4 linked regions of the Saccharomyces cerevisiae S288C genome follow. Changing the gene in region 1 together with any one later gene gives a genetic interaction. Each region holds a gene or a part of one and is shown on either strand. Other genes may lie near its edges. The genes, in order: SLT2, ECM33, BEM3 and IRA2.

Evidence for each region.
Region 2: mutations in SLT2 (region 1) and ECM33 together harm fitness more than expected from each alone (negative genetic interaction), as found in Saccharomyces cerevisiae (5 studies listed by BioGRID, with this or other methods).
Region 3: mutations in SLT2 (region 1) and BEM3 together harm fitness more than expected from each alone (negative genetic interaction), as found in Saccharomyces cerevisiae (5 studies listed by BioGRID).
Region 4: mutations in SLT2 (region 1) and IRA2 together harm fitness more than expected from each alone (negative genetic interaction), as found in Saccharomyces cerevisiae (6 studies listed by BioGRID, with this or other methods).

The regions. Positions count from the first base shown.
Region 1 is NC_001140.6:167,952-171,909, forward strand, and holds SLT2 (mitogen-activated serine/threonine-protein kinase SLT2), read right to left. Parts: upstream 2,394-3,958; coding exon 939-2,393; downstream 1-938. Other genes in the region: YHI9 (Yhi9p), read right to left, coding at 1-610; RRM3 (DNA helicase), read right to left, coding at 2,848-3,958. UniProt on the Saccharomyces cerevisiae protein: Serine/threonine protein kinase involved in a signal transduction pathway that plays a role in yeast cell morphogenesis and cell growth.
Region 2 is NC_001134.8:390,759-395,273, reverse strand, and holds ECM33 (Ecm33p), read right to left. Parts: upstream 2,152-4,515; coding exon 2,094-2,151; intron 1,764-2,093; coding exon 532-1,763; downstream 1-531. Other genes in the region: SLM4 (Slm4p), read left to right, coding at 2,981-3,469; ECM8 (Ecm8p), read right to left, coding at 3,983-4,515. UniProt on the Saccharomyces cerevisiae protein: Required for proper cell wall integrity and for the correct assembly of the mannoprotein outer layer of the cell wall. Important for apical bud growth.
Region 3 is NC_001148.4:331,270-337,500, forward strand, and holds BEM3 (GTPase-activating protein BEM3), read right to left. Parts: upstream 4,218-6,231; coding exon 831-4,217; downstream 1-830. Other genes in the region: HOS3 (histone deacetylase), read left to right, coding at 1-430; YPL113C (glyoxylate reductase), read right to left, coding at 4,684-5,874; PEX25 (Pex25p), read right to left, coding at 6,167-6,231. UniProt on the Saccharomyces cerevisiae protein: GTPase-activating protein (GAP) for CDC42 and less efficiently for RHO1. Negative regulator of the pheromone-response pathway through the STE20 protein kinase.
Region 4 is NC_001147.6:169,329-174,507, forward strand, and holds the start of IRA2 (Ras GTPase activating protein IRA2), read left to right. Parts: upstream 1-1,741; coding exon 1,742-5,179. Other genes in the region: ATG19 (Atg19p), read left to right, coding at 1-646. UniProt on the Saccharomyces cerevisiae protein: Inhibitory regulator of the Ras-cyclic AMP pathway. Stimulates the GTPase activity of Ras proteins.

The sequences.
Region 1 (3,958 bases):
CTTCCTTTTTAGGGCCCGCTAGGATAATTCCCACATGGTCATTCTGTTTTGTCTGGTGTGCAAGCATAGCAAAATTTGGGTTTGCATTGAAGCAAGTTTCTGCATCTTCTACTAGCGCCACGATCCACTCTGGCCCAGTATGTAAAAGAGCAGGAGGCTTTATGAATTTCAAACCAATCGCTTTTTCATAATCAGCAATCATCTCACTCGATATACTTTCGTAATCAGCCATCGGAGCTTTGAAGCTAATTAGTCCCTCATTAATTGTTATTGGAACAGCGCCTATTTTACATTCCTGGACGAGAGAAGTCGCAGTGGTGTTTTTGGTGAACTCAAGGAAAGCCTTACATGAACCAATGGTTGGGTGACCAGCAAATGGCAATTCACTTCTTGGAGTAAAGATCCTCAACTTGTAATCATACTTTTTATCAGATGGTTTAAATAAAAACGTTGTTTCTGATAAGTTTGTCCAGTTGGCAATTGCCTGCAATTCTTCTTGACTGACTTCATTTTCATCAATTTCCAAGAAGTTTATTACTGCTACTGGATTTCCCATAAAGGGCTTCTCAGTGAATACATCAACTTGTTTGAAAGGTACCATTAAAGTCATATTCTAAGCGCTTGGTTTTTTTTATCTTATCTTCCTTGTGTCATATTTAGACATTTAGTTTAGTATTCTAGGTGCTTAAATAATGAATATTGTCTATAGATGACTAATCATAAATGAACGAAAAGAAAGAATTCAAGAGGCGATAACAAACTTCCGCGGAGTACGATTAAGATAAGCGTCGGAGGAGGAATTTGATATACGAGCTACAACAAGAGCACGTATATATATATATATTTGTATACGTTCATATACATCATATATACACATTGTCTGTAAGCTTACATCTATGGTGATTCTATACTTCCCCGGTTACTTATAGTTTTTTGTCCTAAAAATATTTTCTATCTAATCCAAACTCCAGCTCTTTTTCAAGGTCTAGAAGCGTGCCGTTATCATTCTGAGGCGGAATATCTGCGGTATTTCCAGTGGCAGGTCTCATCTCCATCATACTCTCTTGAGGTCGAGGTGGGAAATCTGCATCATGCCTTGGCAAATTTTGGGAGTGAATACCAAATGATTCTTGTTGTGGCGCAACAGAATTAGACGTGGCCATCTGTTTTGGATAATTTTCTTCACTCGCTGCGGCGTTGCCATTATCCACATCTGAAGGCTGCTGTTGCTGTTGCTGTTGCTGTTGCTGCTGCTGTTGCTGCTGCTGTAATTGTAATTGCCTTTGCTCTTCTAATAGCGGTTGTCTCACAAACAGCCTGAAATCTTGCACTTCTTGTATAACCATTTGTTTTAAGTCCTCCATATCATTAACCGATTCAAAACTAAATTCGAATTTTTCACTACACACAGGTTCGTCAGCTGGATCATGCCATATAGACAAGTAAGGATGCTCCAGGGCCTCATCCACGGTAATTCTCTTTTGAGGGTCAAACGCGAGCATTTGCTCCAATAAGTCTAATGCTTGTGAATTGGCATTTGGGTATAAATTGACAAAAGGTACTTTTGGAATGAAACCTAATTGATGTATGTAGTCCTGAACATTTTTAGAACCAATCCTTCTTAAAGTTTCGTCTGGGGGTGTCCCTAAAACTTGTAATATTTGATTCAATTGATTAACGTAATCCTTTCCTTTGAAGATTGGCTTTCCACCAAGAAACTCCGCTAAAATACAGCCAGCTGACCATACGTCAATCGCCTTGGTATATCCTTGGTAACTCAACATTATTTCCGGAGCTCTATACCATCTAGTGGCCACGTACTCCGTCAAAAATTGACTGTTTTCGACAGGATTCTCCGAATAACCTCTAGCTAACCCAAAATCACAGATTTTCAATTGACAATCTGCATTGACAAGCAAATTGCCGGGCTTCAAATCACGATGCAAGACATCTGCAGAATGAATATACTTTAAACCACATAATATTTGGTATGTGAAACTTTGATAGTGAGCATCCGTCAAAGGTTGACCGGATTTGATGATTTGGTGCATATCACATTCCATAAGTTCCTCATAAAGATATAGTCCATTGATAGACCCGTCTGGATAAAAAACAATATCCATATCATAAAGACATGTAATATTTTTGTGGCCTCTGAAATGTCTCAAAAGCTTTAGCTCACGTAGGGATCTTTTACATAGTAAGGTCTTCGAAAAAACGTTTGTCACTTTCTTGATGGCAACTGTGGTATCTTCGGCAGCTTCTGCAAACCGCGCTGAACACACTATGCCGTATGCTCCATGCCCTATTTCTTTGATAAGTTGAAACCTCTTATCTACACTGAAATCTTGATTGAAGACCTTGAAAGTATGCCTCTCTATCTTATCAGCCATCTCCCAGAATTGTTATACACGCCCTTCAATTATTTCTACTATTTTGATAGCTTCAATAAGAAAATCTGTGGCCTAGATTTGCTGACTGAATGCACAGTTCGTCTAATATATATATATATCTGGCAGACCAGGGTCTTCAATTAAATCTAAATATTTGTGTAGGATCTGATTTCCCTCACTTTTTTTTTCGATATATTCCTGGCTAGATCTCCTTTTTCAGTTTCTATTTTTAACACTGAAACTTTCCATTCTGCCAACATTTCGCAGTCTTCTATAAAAAAAAAAAAAGATAATATAAAAATCGCCGCATACGTAGGCTTAGCTAAATAGATGGCTTCTAGATGAATATTTCGGGATTCTGTTAAATTATACAGATAGGCTCACAAGTATTCGAACCTGTATAGAACAAGAAAAGAAAACTTCAACTAGAGTATATGCATTTATTCGTTGCAAGTCATTTCAAAGTTTCTAAACGTTTATAGAAATCTTTTACTCTTTCATTGGTGCGAATCTTTCCTGGATCAAAGTTTAGGACCTGTAAGGTGTCCATAGTTACCGCTCTTGACAGTGCAACATAAACTTGGCCGGCTTCGAAAATTCTCCTCAAGTCGACCTTTAGTCTTTGAATAGTTTGACCCTGTGCCTTATGAATGGACAGTGCCCAGCATAGCATTAATGGAATCTGAGTTCTTTCTAACCCGACATTTTCTCTGGGAATATCAATGGGAAAGCGCTCTGGGACCATGAGCTCATGTATGTACTTGTTTTTACCCACTGTCCACCTCACATAGGGGAATTTTTCCTTATGCGGAGAGATCTTAACTGCATAGTTTATCAAGATTTTCAAACGTTCCAATCTAGCTAATGGCCTGGCATTCAAATCTTGACGAAACTCCTTTGATTCCTTTAACAAGGGATTACCAATGACCCGACTCACTAATCTCATGTCCATGACAACTTCGTCATCCACAATCTTGTAAATTTCCTTCATTTTCACCACCAGCGATTCTGTAACAAAAAACAAAACTTTTCCCAATGATCCATTAACTAATTCTACATCAGGCTTATTTTTCAACATCATTACCTGTGCATCTTCCTTCAATGCGACAACTTTTTCCACCATTAATGAAGAATCTAGTATCGCTTGGTATCTCTCGGGCGCGTTATCTACAGCTTTAAACTCATATAAATCACCAGGTAGAGACTGTAATTTCTTTACGTTGGATAGTTCAACTTCTCTTCTTGTGGCATACAGTTCTGTAGGAGCAATTCCATCGGCATAGTCTATATCCCTATTTAGGTTCCTTATTGTTTTAGCAATGTCGACAGTCAGCTCTCCGTATCTTATGGCATTTAGAATATCAATTAGTTTGTTATCCTGTTGTCTGAAAACCTTTGTCAGTAAAATCGTTTTTTGAATGCACCGTTTCCACATTTCACTTTCAAAACAAAATTTCACAACGTTATGCTCGTCCTTCTTAGCAACTGGTGGTAGTTGAAAAAAATCGCCTGTCAGGACCAATTGAATACCACCAAAGGGATCGTCGTTCTTCCGAATTCTCCTT
Region 2 (4,515 bases), on another chromosome or scaffold:
TCAAAGGAAGGAGCAGAAGAGCAGTAAAGATGGCAGTTATTTTAAAAACGAATTTCGAGAAATAGTTGGTATAAATAACTATAAATAACGTTTTACTGTTTTAAAAAAGCGATCCGTTAAAAGGCCCTAACGATTCTTTAGAAACTTGAAACGTTAGCGGAAGAGCACTTTGTTTTAAACCGTAGTAAGAATTTTTTTATATTTTATTTCATTTACTTATTTTTTTTTTTTCTTTACTCCTTTTTTTTATGTTACTTAGACAAATTTCATTATATTAGGTAAAGCTAAAGGATGGTAAAAAGTCTGAGTGGTTCTTTTAATTAAGGTAGCAAAAGTTGATGAAACTGGAACTTCAAAACAGTAATAATATAGTAACAATAAGAAATAAAAGAGATATTAACGACACTAAAATTTTATCTACATATAAAATTCAGTGATGAACCAACCGTCTCATAATAAAAAAGGAATGGTAAAGAAATCATTAGAGAAGAAATTAAAGTAATAATAGAAACACAAATTGTTGCTTTAATCTTATAGTAAGGCAACGCCAACAGCAGCAACGACACCCATGAATGAAGTGGCTGGAACAAGTTCTGGAGCAGCACCCTTAGACTTCTTAGAAGAAGAGGAAGAAGAGCTAGCGGAAGCTGAAACGTTAGCTTGAGCATTGGAGGCATCACCACTAGAAGAAGCGGAAGATGTAGCAGAGCTCTTGGATGATTCAGTAGAAGTAGAGGATAGCTTAACGGAGGTAGATGTGGCACCGTTCTTGCAAACAAAAGAGTCACCTTGAATAGCACCGTTACTTTGCAACTTCTTCAAAGCGTTACAGGAGAAGTTACTGGAAGAAGAGTCGAAGTTAGCACCACCTCTAACAGACTTCAAAGAAGATAAGTCCAAGGTTGAGAAGTTACCAGTAACTTCAATGGCACCACCAACAGTTTGAACCTTGTTAAAACCGTCAATGACCTTCAATTGTGTGTTGTTAGCAATGATGAAACCACCACCAACAGTAGTCAAGTTACTGAAAGCGGCCTTGGATAATTCATCGTTGGAGACGATAGACAAAGATTGACCAACCTTGCTCAATTGGGTCAAGTTCAAACTTGGCAAAGTGTTGTTAATGAAACCTAAGGAAGCGTTAACAGTTTGCAAACTACCGAAAGAAATAGAGTTAACATCTCTCAAAGTGATGTTGTTAGCCCAGACCAAATTGTCGAAGGCCAAAGTAGTGTTGTCACCGTTGGAAGAGAATTGTAAAGAGTCAGAGACACTTTCCAAGGAAGATTGGAAAGAGTTTAGATATCTGTTGTTGTTGATGTTAAAAACATTAACCTTCTTCAAAGTGGAGAAACCTTCGACACTTTCCAAAGTGGTGTCAGAAACAATAATGTTGTTAGCATTTTGTAAATCGGTGGAGAAGGTAGAAATGGCAGGCAAAGTCACCATGTTAATGGAGTCTACTTCTTGCAAAGAACCGAAAGAAGCACTGGTCAAAATGATCAATTCTTGCATGTTCAAATCACCGGTGATTTTCTTGATAGAGTCAGCGGAGAAAGAAGATAAAGAACTGGAGTTGAAGATAGTCAAGGAACCATCAATCTCTTGGATACTAGCCAAAGCAGCGGAACCCAAGTCACCGGTGATGGTCAAGTTACCAACAATGGTACTACAACCGGAGATTTTGTCCAAATCAGCTTGAGCAGTAGCAGTGGCAGAAGTACCAATACTACATGAAGATGGAATAGAAGTAGTTGAGTTAGCTGCTTAGATAAAGAAAAGTAGTGTTAGTATTCCCGATCGATTTATACATGTATTATTCTGTTTCATTACTCGCCCTAATCCTATGACAGGCAGAAATATTGAAGAATATTCCAAAACCATCCTCACGAGATCTCGAAACCCGTTTCCTCTTTTGGAAATTTTTTTTTTTCGCATTGTCCGTCCGCGTCAATCGAGACCTATGAAAAAAAGCCCAGTAATCGACAAAGAAAAAAGAAAAGAATGAAGAGGACCACGAATCTACTCGAGATTTGTGAGGAAAGAGGCAAATAAAGAAAAAAAGATGAAAAAAAAGGAGAATGTGTACATACCAGCTAGAGCGGAGGCACTTAGAATAGCAGTAGCAGTCAAAGCGTTCTTGAATTGCATTGCGGAATAATAGTAAAATTAAAACTAGATCTTTAAAAGTCAAATAAACGTATTCTTGATAGCTCAAAGGGACTTGTTGAAAGAAAAATGGAAAAGATTAAACTGTGTAGAAGCGAATGAACGATTAACTCTTTTATTTAATTTCTTTTCTAAAAGTGGCCGAAGTACTCAAAGATGATGTTCTAAAAAGAAGAGAAAGGGTGAAAAGCCAAGAAAGATAAAGAAGGAAAGAAAATGCAGAGGAAAGATCTTCACATATTAAATACAAAAATGCAAGAGAGGTCCGTTGATTGCGAAAAGTCGTAGGTGTTTGACATTGAATATTTATACCGGCTCAAGCACGCTACCGAAAATTTTTCAGTTCGATCTGAGGTTTGTACTTTTGATTTCGATCCCAGGAGGGATGGTTGTTTACTGCACGTTGCCTTTGTTTGTTGTGGTAACGCGGTTTCAGTCCTGTCTCTAGTGCCTGGCCACTGAGAATGAGCGCGTGGGCCAGAAACGGTGGCGCGTCTTTCCCGTTTTTGCACTCCATTTCATTTCTTTTTCGCGAGGGCGCAGCAGCCACCCGGGTCGTGAAGGATGATACTGCCCGCCATCCTTTTTTTTTTGCGGTTTACGGTAATTCGCAGATTTTACGTTGATAATGATATGAATGGTGCCCTCTGGGTAACAGGTGAATATGGAGAGAGAGACGAAGAAAAAGAAAAACAATTGCTTCATTTGGCATATAAGCTAAAAAGACTCTAATGAATTAATTAAGGGAAGATAAGAAGAAAAAAAAAAGGCAGTTATCAGCAGCAAACGGTATCCAAAATATTGAAGCAATATGGTGATGCTCCATTCTAAAAACGTTAAAGGGTTTCTGGAAAACACTTTGAAACCGTATGATTTGCATTCGGTAGACTTCAAGACATCGTCTTTGCAATCGTCTATGATTATAACCGCCACTAATGGGGGTATACTGTCCTATGCGACGTCAAACAACGATGTACCGAAAAATTCCATAAACGAAATAAACTCGGTCAATAACTTGAAAATGATGAGCTTATTGATTAAGGATAAGTGGTCAGAGGATGAAAACGATACTGAGGAACAGCACTCCAATAGCTGTTACCCTGTGGAAATCGACTCCTTTAAGACAAAAATATATACTTACGAAATGGAAGATTTACATACCTGTGTCGCACAGATACCCAATAGCGACCTTTTGCTATTGTTCATTGCGGAAGGTAGCTTCCCTTACGGACTACTGGTAATTAAAATTGAAAGAGCTATGAGAGAGTTGACTGATTTGTTTGGCTACAAGCTAGGTTGATGGGTTTAACAATATGTATCGAGGCCACACCTTTTCATGCGTCTCCGGATGGGGGCTGGAAAAAACAATGCGAACAGTCTATAAATAAACACATTTTCGCAGGGACAGAGTTTACGCAGACACGCCATTTACATAAGCTTGATTACGCGGATTGCCGTGGTGCACTTTCGTGCACTCGCACATATATATGCACGTACATAAGGGCCTCATCTTCCTCTCCTTTTTTTCCCCCATCTACCTATCGCTGTTATTGAACGGAAGCATCTTCTTTTTTTATTATGCTCAGAGGGCCCTACATGACAGCTTTTTTTTCCCCAATGAGCTGCTACGGTGCCAGATCTGCTTATGTTCATTATTTTGGATGGTAACCGTTATAAATTTAAAGCGTTTCTTCGCTAGGATGGTGAATATTAGTATTTATCAGCCGTCTCGTAATCGTTTAGTTCGTTACTAGCGGCAAATTTTGTTTGATTTGTTATATGATCATTTATTTTTAATATCTTGCGTACACAATCAATTGCTTTTTGTTATAACTTGGACATATAAACATTTCGTTCGGAACGTGGCTAAGTCGCATTGGATGTAGTGTGTAAAATAATTCTCGTATATACCTTCAATGTCTTCTCTATTGCGTGTTTGAATATACGACATCCCATTATAATCAGCATTGAGGTTTCTTAGAGACTCGAAATCCTGAAAGGAATCCCTAATGATTTCATCGTATTCACACCAACCCAAACGGATCCAATTTTCGCAGTGGGGGCATTTCACATGGATTCTCCTAAATCCCCCGTTCAACGTTTGAGTGTAGTAGGCCAAAGGAGAGGGAATGATGGATACAGTAAGAGAGTTCAAAATTTTTTTGCTAAACTCTGGCTCTTTTAATACTTGAATTTTGAAATTAAGTTTTCCCTGGATTTTTAACAGCTTAGACTCGAAATGGTATAAAGTGTGAGGCTTAAATTCAGACAAAATGCCGTGCGCAAAGAATAAATGTTTTAGGTAGTTTTCAGCTAGAATCCAATTATTCCCCTGGCAAAATCTGC
Region 3 (6,231 bases), on another chromosome or scaffold:
AAGCGATACCAAGGTCAAGCAGCTCTCGTCAAATAATAGAGCAGCTGAAACCCAAATTCCGTTTTTGCAACAAGAATTTTCCAGTGAGGATGAAGATGAAGAATACGTTTACGATGAAGAATTGAACAAAACTTTCAATCGCACGGTGGAGGATATTACCATTGATGATATTTCTAGACATTTGGAGACCTTAGAAATTGAAAAAAAAGGTGATGAAGATTCAGACCATGAGCTAAAAGAAAAAAATTGGAAAAACTCGCACCAACGCCGTCTACAAGGTAATGGAATGTATAAAATTCCCTCCAATACGAAACCGCATCGCATAAGACAGCCTCAAAACGCAAATACACCAACTTATGACGATAGTGATATATCAATGATTTCTCATGTTTCAAGAAAACATACAACAAGAAGTGGTGGAAGATGGTGATACCAATGCATATATAATGTTGTCTTGAACCCACTAAAGAAGTGACGCATATATTACTTTTTTGTATTTAGTAACACAATTTTTCTATTTTTATATTTCCTTGTATAGTTAGTAATTTTAATTTTTTTCCTTCTTTATCTCAGCTCTTCGACCATTTGGTCAAGAAGTTAGTTTTTTTCTCTTATTTTATTTGACAATATACTAATTTTATTATATGGTATTGTAAATAACATTTGAGGAATAAAAAGACAGTCACTCTATAAGCTTTATCAGCCTGACATTTTTTTATTATTACAAATATATCGTTGAAAGAAAGAAGCCTCTATACATCTCGCCCTCTTTCTATCATTAAATCAATGGAGGTTTACTGGCAACGTTATATTTCTACAATTTTAGACCATCAAACCTGAGGAATATGTATATCTACTTTCTCCCTTTCCTCTTCTTTAACTGGTTCACCACCCTGAAATATACACGCAAAGTCAGTGATGAATGGTTGAAGCATACTAATTGGAATATTTAGAGTTGGGGAAAACACGATGCATAAATTTCTTAGATTCATCTTATTAAACTTACTATTCTCATTGATCCTTACCAGCAGTTCAAAAAGAGCATACATCAACGATAGGTTAGCGTGAGGAACTAGGCCAGATTCAATAAGTTCCTTAAACCCCAATGATATTTGAACAGGATTATTATGATTTTCATCAACTACTCTTTTAAACGACAAAAATTGTTCGTCACCAAATAATAAATGGGGCAACTTTCTCAAGTACAACTTTAGTAACCCACTTACAGTATTCACACCAATGTAAAGACTTGGAGATGCCTCATCATCTTTAGCTTCAATACTTTCATTGTACCGACATAAATCTACATCGTACTCTTTATCAAACCTTTCTTGTAAAGTTTTGATAACTGTACTGGACCCGCTTAGTCTAAATATGCCTTCTTCCTGGATACCACGGTTTTTGTAAAGATACTCTAAGCAACGATAAACTACACTCGGTAAATCGTAAACGTTTTGGTACTTATGCGAACTCAATCTTAAACACGTTTCTAGTGACGAGCCAAATATTGCAGTGGACACATGTGGACCCGTAGAAGAATTTGACGAAGAGGATACTTCCATTAATTTTTTGCTTGGTGACTTAATGATAGAGTCAGGAGATGTTGGAGAATCCGAATCATTTGAAATTGTAATACCTATATGGTTCATTGCACTCGCCGGGCCGGTTAATTTTTTAAAAGGGAATAAACTTCTCATTTTGGCTCTCCTACTATCCTTCTCCTCCTCTGCATTCCCGCTTGAACTTGCTAGGAAGTTAGAGTGAGAAGATGGGTTTGAGTCAATACCATCGCTATTAGCAATGTTATTGCTACTATTACTAATATTGTTATTATTATTATATTCTTGGGTCAAATCAGTGACATATGATGGAGTATCGGTTGCTGAGATAGTTGCGTTTCCAAATTTAGAATGGTGTGTTCCTGCGCTCAAGTGAGATGCAGAATCAGTATCGTTTGCATTCCTCGAGCTAGATAACGATAAACTTTGTGAAGGATCAATGTAATCACTAAACGCAGAAAGCCATAATTCACGTTCCTTCGACGTTTCAGTACAAATATAATACTTTGTTGAGGTTGACAGTCCGCTTTTCTTATGCTCAGTGATCAAAAACCCATTTCTCGTTCCAAATCTATCTTCAGGGAGATTGGGTATAAGTTCTATAGAAGATTGTCTCAATTTAATAGTTTCAGTCAACTGATTTTTGTCAAACAATTGTAAAACATCATCGCGCAAAATACCGTACCGAACTCTCCATGTACTATTACCTGTTAGAGTCTTTGGTCTTCTCAGCAAAAGTGATCCGTCTTTCACATTATCATCCATCATTGGAGGTGTCATTACTGTATCTGTACTAATAAATTGGGCGATTTTTAAACCAACATTTTTGGGAAATTCAGGGACACTGAATATGCTTGTATAATACTGATTCAATATGTTCTTTCGCGTATCCACTTTTGTAGGTGATAAAGTCTGAAATAATTGTCTATCAGGTAACGTGGGCAATGGTAAATCGGGAACATGTGATTTCATATATACATCTAATTCGCGAACTTTATGAATAGATTTTGAAAATTTAAACATCTCCTTACCGGATTTCCTGTCTATGATTGCAATTAAAATGGATAAATCATCTTCATTATCCCTGTACAATGTGCTCAGTACTTCAATCTGGATAGTGCCAAAATCCTCCGGTTGAACGAATAATGGAATATCCGACTTAAGACTTTGGGCCACAGACTTCACGGTGCTCACGCTACTTGCATGAGGTCTTCTAAGTGTCTTCAACGAACCTTGGGGTGTTGAGCTAAATGTATTCAAGGTATTGGTTGAATGGATGGATGCCGTTTCTCCAAGTTGTTTTTGTTTTGATGAACTTTCCACGGGAGGATTTGGAGGAAGAGAAGCATTTTGACTTGTTGTTGACAATTTTGTAGAAAGATTGGGGAGTGATGAAGTTAACACAGGTTTCTTTAAATTTTTTGCACTTTGAGCACCAAAATTATCATCCTTTTTATTCAAGATAACCGGAGAAGCCAAATGGCTTGATAAAGGAGTAGAGTTTTTTATATTTCCACTAGAAGTAGGTGAGAAAAAAGTTGGAGGCGCTGGAGGTGGGGGTAAAGATTCGTTAATCGTGGATTTTATGGACAGAGGATCTTTACTGTCCGTATTGACTAGATCCTCTTCGCCAAATGAGGAGTCAAGTAATTGGGTGAAGTCGTCAAGTTTTTCTTTAGATGCTGGAGAGAAACCCAAAGCCTTGTTTTCACCCTCCTTGACTTCCAAAAGGGATGATGGACTTTTGGCTGCTGAAGTAGGAGTTCCAGTAGTGTATGCAGAGGATGTTATAGAAGAATAAACGCGGTCATTTTTTTGTATCGCGTCATTAGTTAGTTGTTGACTTTTACTTTCAGTCAGCTCATCTAAATTATTAGAGGTACTGGCCTTTAATGGAGAATGCAAATGGTTGTTGATAACAGCCGTCATTCTGTTAGGATTTTGAGGGGAACGCAAACGTTCTTGCAATGGAGATTTCGAACCTTTATTAGGTGATTTTATGGTTATCCTAGACGTCGTATAGGTAACAGAGGCAGCTGGGCTAGCCAACTGTTCTGAATGTATTTTTGTAGGGCTTGAGACAGATCTATTGATAATTTTGGGAGATGAGAAGCTACTATTTGCTTCTATTTCATCGTTTAGTATCATGTTCTGTAAATGCTTCCTACTTATTGAAGTATTTGATGTAACACCTATTTGAGGTACTGTAGGCGTTACACTTGTTTCAAGTGCAACGTCTGAACCTTGTTGCAATGGAGGGGACAATGTCGGTATTGGCAAATTAAGACTCTTGATATGCGCTTTCCTTTCAGCAGATCTTGGGGGTAACACAAATGATTGATCGTTAACGTATGAATCTCTTGAGTCATTTTGAACTTGCTCAAGCACAACTTCTAAGGAAGCTTCTCTGTTTTTTTGTAACATATCAATAACCTTTTCCAAACTCTCAATTTCAGTTTCATATTCTTGGACTTGTAGCTTTAGCTTAATGTTTTCCGTAAAAATTTCATCATAGGACGGATTTCTTTCTTTTCCTGAACATGTTCCTTTTTCTATATGTTCTATAGATTTGTCCTTTTTGGATCTATGATCATTGTACTGCGCCAACAATTCAAGGGTGGTACTACCACCATGAGTTGTGGTCAAATTATCTGTCATTGCGTGCTGTTAGTTGAGTGTGAGTTTATTCTAGAATATACACACAGATACTCCTAGCAGCCAGTGTTTCAACAAACGTGATGTTGTATATGCCTGATGTAATCACGAACTCGAACAAAAGGCAAAATGGTAGAAGGCAAGGACAAAGAAGAAAAGAGAAAAAACTTCCAGATACAAAGCTAACACACAAAGGTAAACGGTGATTAAAATGGATATATCGTTGATGTATTTAACAATCTTGAAAAATTCCGTTTAAAAAACATACCAATACGCGCAATAAAAACGGTTCTTATCTGGTACTTTACCTAGTCAGACGATTATTGTTCTTTATAAAACGGCCGCGTTTTTTTTCCAACATCACCGCCGCCATATAACTTTCGACATTCTTAGAGTTGTGGTATAAAGAGCAATGCATATACGTATGTAATCCTAATTGAAATGCTATCTTTGTAACATAATGAATGGTTCAGTTGAGCACATACTTACCATCACCTCCCTCGACAAATATGTCCTGCACATTCTCGAGTGTGATGAGTGTCTGCTTTATGACCATGTCGGCAACTGTGCTGCCGATATGTGGCAAAGCTGTAACATCCCATCTGCGAAGTAACTCTTGCTTAACGCGTGTTTCCTCATTTTTAAACACATCGAGACCACAGCTTGCCACTTTTCCAGATTCAAGAGCGTCTAGTAGCACATCTTCATCTATGCATGTGCCTCTCCCAACGTTAACTATCCTGACACCATCTTTACACCAGGCCAAACTTTTACGATTGATAATATTGTTTGTAGAGGCCGTACTGGGCAAGGCCAAAATGATCAAATCCGCATTCTTCCAAGTATTTGGATCATCTAGATCAGAATGGTACTTAGCGTTGTAATCAAGTAGACTCTTTTGGACGGGACCGGTCCTTTTGTAGTATTCAATGCTCATGTTGAACACTTTGTGCAAGTTAGACCCTATATTTTGTCCGATGGAGCCAAACCCCAATATTAGAACTTTTTTATTCATTGGAGATTCCATTTTTTTCCCGCCAACCGTGTACTTTTCTGCTAAATGTACCACTTTCCTATCCTTGTTAGGCTTGCATTTGTCTGTTCGAGAGGGAAATTTCATTTCCTGACCGTGGTAACTATCTGTAACAATTTCATACGAGTCACTAGAGATATATTTCTTACACTGTTCAACATTACCATTTTCCACGTATTTAAAACAATATTCCCAAAATGAAGTCATTCTAAAGCAGCTAATTGCTAGGAAAATAGCCAATTCTGTGACATGGTCAGCAGCATGTGGTCCAATGTTGCATAAAGTGATACCTTTCGATCTTAATAACTTACCGTCAATAAAGTCACAGCCGACCCATGGTACAAGGATTACTTTTAAAGATGCGGGGAAGAATTCAATATAACTCGAAGGGTTTCCTAACACAGTGAAAAACTCCTCAGTGAGCCAAAAGCCGTTTATTCTATGAGTTTCCAAAAATTTAACAAAATCATCCTTTGTGGACATCTCATATTTATAGAATTCTACCCTTTCTGCCAGTTTGCGATATTCAGGAAGATGACTGGCGACTTCCCATTGGGTTTTATAAGGCACCAAAATTCTTGGTTTGGCAGAATAAGTTACATCTGCTATGTCAATTGAAGTAATCATTGTTATTTAAAGGTTGCTACTTTTGTACACTCAAGTATTTTTCTGTATTTGAGAGAGAGCTATTTGTACTCCACACTCCACCTTTTAGATCTGCGTCAAAGTGTCAGAATAAACATACCGTAAAACGGAATGACTACCGCCACCCCAATGACATAAAAACGGAAGAAAAAGAGCAAAAACCGAGCGCCAAACTATCTTATTCAACGAATCAAATAACAATACAAATGCAGAGGTAAAACATTATTCGCCACATATATATGTACATATCTATATGTATACATATTTTTATATATCAATCTTTTGAAGAGCAAAGTGACCTCTTTGTTGTTATCCAAAGTTTAACCAGTCCAGTTAAGC
Region 4 (5,179 bases), on another chromosome or scaffold:
TAGGTCCGAACTAGTGAACTTTTTCACAGAGTTGAAAACAGTCAAACAACTTGAGGACGTTTTTCAACGTTACCATGACTATGAGAGGTTATCACAAGAATGTGACAGTAAGACGGAAATCGCCTCTGACCATTCGAAAAAGGAAACTAAAATAGAAGTGGAACCCCCAAATGAGCGCTCATTGCAAATCACAATGAACCAAAGGGACAATTCATTGTATTTCCAGTTGTTTAACAACACAAACTCTGTTTTGGCAGGCAACTGCAAACTGAAGTTTACTGACGCTGGCGATAAGCCAACCACGCAAATTATTGACATGGGTCCTCATGAAATAGGAATAAAGGAGTACAAGGAATACCGATACTTTCCATACGCACTTGATTTAGAGGCCGGCTCCACTATCGAGATTGAAAATCAGTATGGAGAAGTGATCTTCTTGGGCAAGTATGGCTCTTCTCCAATGATTAACTTAAGGCCACCTTCAAGATTATCTGCAGAAAGTTTACAGGCATCCCAAGAGCCATTTTACTCCTTTCAAATCGATACGTTACCAGAACTGGATGACTCTAGTATCATCAGTACATCCATTTCACTCTCTTATGACGGTGACGACAATGAAAAAGCCCTGACTTGGGAAGAACTCTAGGTCAAACTCTATTTTTATACAGCAATGAGTACCTTTTCACATACACATAAATATATTAAATATAATAAATACAATAAATATAAAATAACCCTTTTCGAAACTCTTTACTTCCTAAGGCCTCTCATTACTTATCACCTAGCATCATGCTCTTCATACATGCCATCTACTTTCAAACGATATACGGCTAACCAGAAAAGTACGGACAATCAGGGACGAGCAGGGACATGACGCCTTCCGCACAGATCCCAGAGAAAAGCAGGGAAACAAGAAAATAAGAAAACAAGAAAAACAGTAGTTACCCTTGTAAGTGTCATCCACAACAGAACCAATACTCTTACTCTTCCGCTCATTCCCCGCAGAATGATAGAACTATTCTAAATCCCCTTGCCTTGCTTGGCCTTGACTTGGGTTGGGACTTGGACCTCTAGAACCGATGTGCCTTCAAACATCTTAGCGAGATAAGAGTCTGCCATTAATGCATCGAGCCAATATCTTGGACTAGTACGAGGTTCACGTAGCCTTTCTTGCACGGCACCAGCGTCCCACCCCAAGTTCTTTGCTATACTGACCGCCTTACACATTTTAGTGTGATTCCAACCCAAAGTAGCTCCTCAAAAAGGGTCACCCGATCGGTGAATCAATCCGCGGCGCAGAAATGTTCGTAGAGCTCTCGTTTCTTCTAGAACGCTCCCTTGATGAAACGAAAATTTCCATCACAATAAAGCTCGCACGCCTTTTTGAAAACCCCAAGCTTTGCTGTGTCTTCTTGTGAAAAGTTTTGCCCAACGATTATCTATTCTACATATAACCGGGGAGTTAAGCACATCCTATTGCCCTACATTCTCTCCGCTTACTTCATTGTCTAGAGCTCCTGGGAAACAAAAGACCGAAAAAGCGAAAACAAAATCAGAACAAGGCTTAAGTACTTTTTCACCAATTGTAGCAAACATTTAACCACATTTTAGCACACTAGCATATAGCATTGTCCTCTGTTATTCGTTTTGCTTTTCTCCTTTAGTGTTACTTTTCCCCCAACGTTACACCATTTTTTGATATCAACTAAACTGTATACATTATCTTTCTTCAGGGAGAAGCATGTCCCAGCCCACTAAGAATAAGAAGAAAGAACACGGGACCGATTCCAAGTCATCCCGCATGACTCGGACGTTGGTTAATCATATTCTTTTTGAAAGAATTCTCCCGATCCTTCCGGTGGAGTCTAATCTAAGTACCTATTCGGAAGTGGAAGAGTATTCCTCATTCATTTCATGCAGATCTGTGCTCATTAACGTTACCGTTTCCCGAGATGCAAATGCTATGGTGGAAGGCACCTTGGAGTTGATAGAATCGCTTCTTCAAGGGCACGAAATCATTTCAGATAAGGGTAGCAGTGACGTTATTGAATCAATACTGATTATACTAAGATTGTTAAGTGATGCGCTAGAGTATAATTGGCAAAATCAAGAAAGCCTTCATTACAACGACATTTCGACTCACGTAGAACATGACCAAGAACAGAAGTACAGACCAAAGCTTAACAGTATTCTGCCCGACTACTCGTCGACTCATTCCAATGGCAACAAACACTTTTTCCACCAGAGCAAACCTCAGGCACTGATACCGGAACTGGCATCGAAATTGCTTGAGAGTTGCGCGAAGTTGAAGTTCAATACAAGAACTTTGCAAATTTTACAAAATATGATCAGTCATGTTCATGGAAACATTCTAACGACTTTGAGTTCCTCGATTCTTCCCCGCCACAAATCCTATCTGACAAGGCACAACCATCCTTCTCATTGTAAAATGATTGACTCTACTCTAGGCCATATTCTCCGATTTGTAGCGGCTTCCAATCCGTCCGAGTATTTTGAATTTATCAGAAAGAGTGTGCAAGTGCCCGTAACACAGACACACACGCATTCACACTCCCATTCACACTCTTTGCCATCTTCCGTTTATAACAGCATAGTGCCCCACTTTGATCTTTTCAGCTTCATCTATTTAAGCAAGCATAATTTTAAGAAATACTTGGAACTCATCAAAAACTTATCGGTGACGTTAAGGAAAACGATTTATCATTGCCTACTTTTGCATTACAGCGCCAAAGCAATAATGTTTTGGATAATGGCTAGGCCTGCGGAATATTATGAACTCTTCAACTTATTAAAAGATAATAACAATGAACACTCGAAATCCTTAAACACGTTAAACCATACACTTTTCGAGGAGATCCATTCGACTTTTAATGTGAATAGCATGATAACCACCAATCAAAATGCTCATCAAGGCTCATCTTCCCCTTCGTCCTCCTCGCCATCGTCACCACCTAGCTCATCATCATCGGATAACAACAATCAAAACATAATAGCAAAATCCTTAAGTCGTCAGCTTTCTCACCACCAGTCATACATTCAACAGCAGTCTGAAAGAAAACTACATTCTTCATGGACTACAAACTCTCAATCCTCTACTTCACTGTCATCTTCAACGTCTAATTCAACAACAACTGATTTCTCTACTCACACTCAACCAGGAGAATATGACCCTTCCTTACCAGATACTCCCACGATGTCTAACATCACTATTAGTGCATCTTCATTATTATCTCAAACTCCAACTCCAACAACACAATTGCAACAGCGGTTGAACTCAGCAGCTGCAGCCGCCGCCGCAGCTGCTTCACCATCGAATTCCACCCCAACTGGATACACAGCAGAGCAACAAAGTCGCGCTTCATACGATGCACACAAAACTGGCCATACTGGTAAGGATTATGACGAACATTTTTTGTCTGTCACTCGTTTGGATAATGTTTTGGAGTTATACACGCACTTTGATGATACTGAGGTACTACCACACACATCCGTACTGAAGTTTTTAACTACTTTGACAATGTTCGATATTGACCTTTTTAATGAATTAAACGCTACATCATTCAAATATATTCCTGATTGTACTATGCATCGTCCAAAAGAAAGAACAAGTTCTTTCAATAATACTGCACACGAGACAGGTTCCGAAAAGACTTCGGGTATAAAACATATTACACAAGGCTTAAAGAAATTAACTTCTTTACCTTCCTCAACCAAAAAAACTGTAAAATTTGTGAAGATGTTGCTAAGAAATTTAAATGGGAATCAAGCTGTATCAGATGTTGCCCTCTTAGATACAATGAGGGCCTTACTATCATTCTTTACAATGACTTCTGCGGTCTTTCTCGTGGATAGAAACTTACCCTCAGTACTTTTTGCCAAGAGACTCATCCCCATAATGGGGACAAATTTAAGCGTCGGTCAAGACTGGAATTCAAAAATAAATAACAGTTTGATGGTTTGTTTGAAAAAAAACTCCACCACGTTTGTTCAATTACAATTAATATTCTTCTCTTCAGCTATTCAATTCGATCATGAATTATTACTGGCACGTCTGAGCATCGATACAATGGCCAACAATTTAAACATGCAGAAGCTATGCCTTTATACTGAAGGATTCAGGATATTCTTCGACATACCAAGTAAGAAGGAATTGCGGAAGGCAATTGCGGTTAAAATTTCTAAATTTTTCAAAACATTATTCTCCATTATAGCAGATATTCTTTTACAAGAATTTCCGTATTTTGATGAGCAAATCACCGACATAGTTGCTTCCATTCTTGACGGTACAATTATCAATGAGTATGGTACGAAGAAACATTTCAAGGGGAGCTCACCCTCTTTATGTTCGACAACCCGGTCAAGATCAGGATCTACATCTCAAAGTTCAATGACACCAGTTTCTCCGCTGGGACTGGATACTGATATATGTCCAATGAACACCCTGTCTTTAGTTGGTTCAAGTACTTCAAGAAATTCTGACAACGTTAATTCATTAAACAGTTCACCAAAGAACTTGTCTTCTGATCCATACTTGTCACATCTTGTGGCCCCAAGAGCGCGTCATGCTTTAGGTGGGCCATCTAGTATTATAAGGAATAAAATACCGACTACATTGACTTCACCTCCAGGAACGGAAAAATCTTCACCAGTACAACGTCCGCAAACGGAAAGCATCAGTGCCACACCAATGGCCATAACAAATTCTACTCCATTATCGTCGGCAGCATTCGGAATTCGATCGCCTTTGCAGAAAATAAGAACGAGGCGTTATTCCGATGAAAGTTTAGGAAAATTCATGAAATCAACAAATAATTACATTCAAGAACATTTGATACCAAAAGATTTGAATGAAGCAACTCTTCAAGATGCTAGAAGAATAATGATTAATATTTTCAGTATTTTTAAGAGACCGAATAGTTACTTCATCATTCCTCACAATATAAACTCGAATTTACAATGGGTTTCGCAGGATTTTAGAAATATTATGAAACCGATTTTCGTCGCCATCGTAAGTCCGGATGTAGATTTACAGAATACTGCTCAATCATTCATGGATACCTTATTATCGAATGTTATTACTTATGGTGAATCAGATGAGAATATCAGTATTGAAGGGTATCATCTTCTTTGCAGTTACACTGTAACATTATTTGCAATG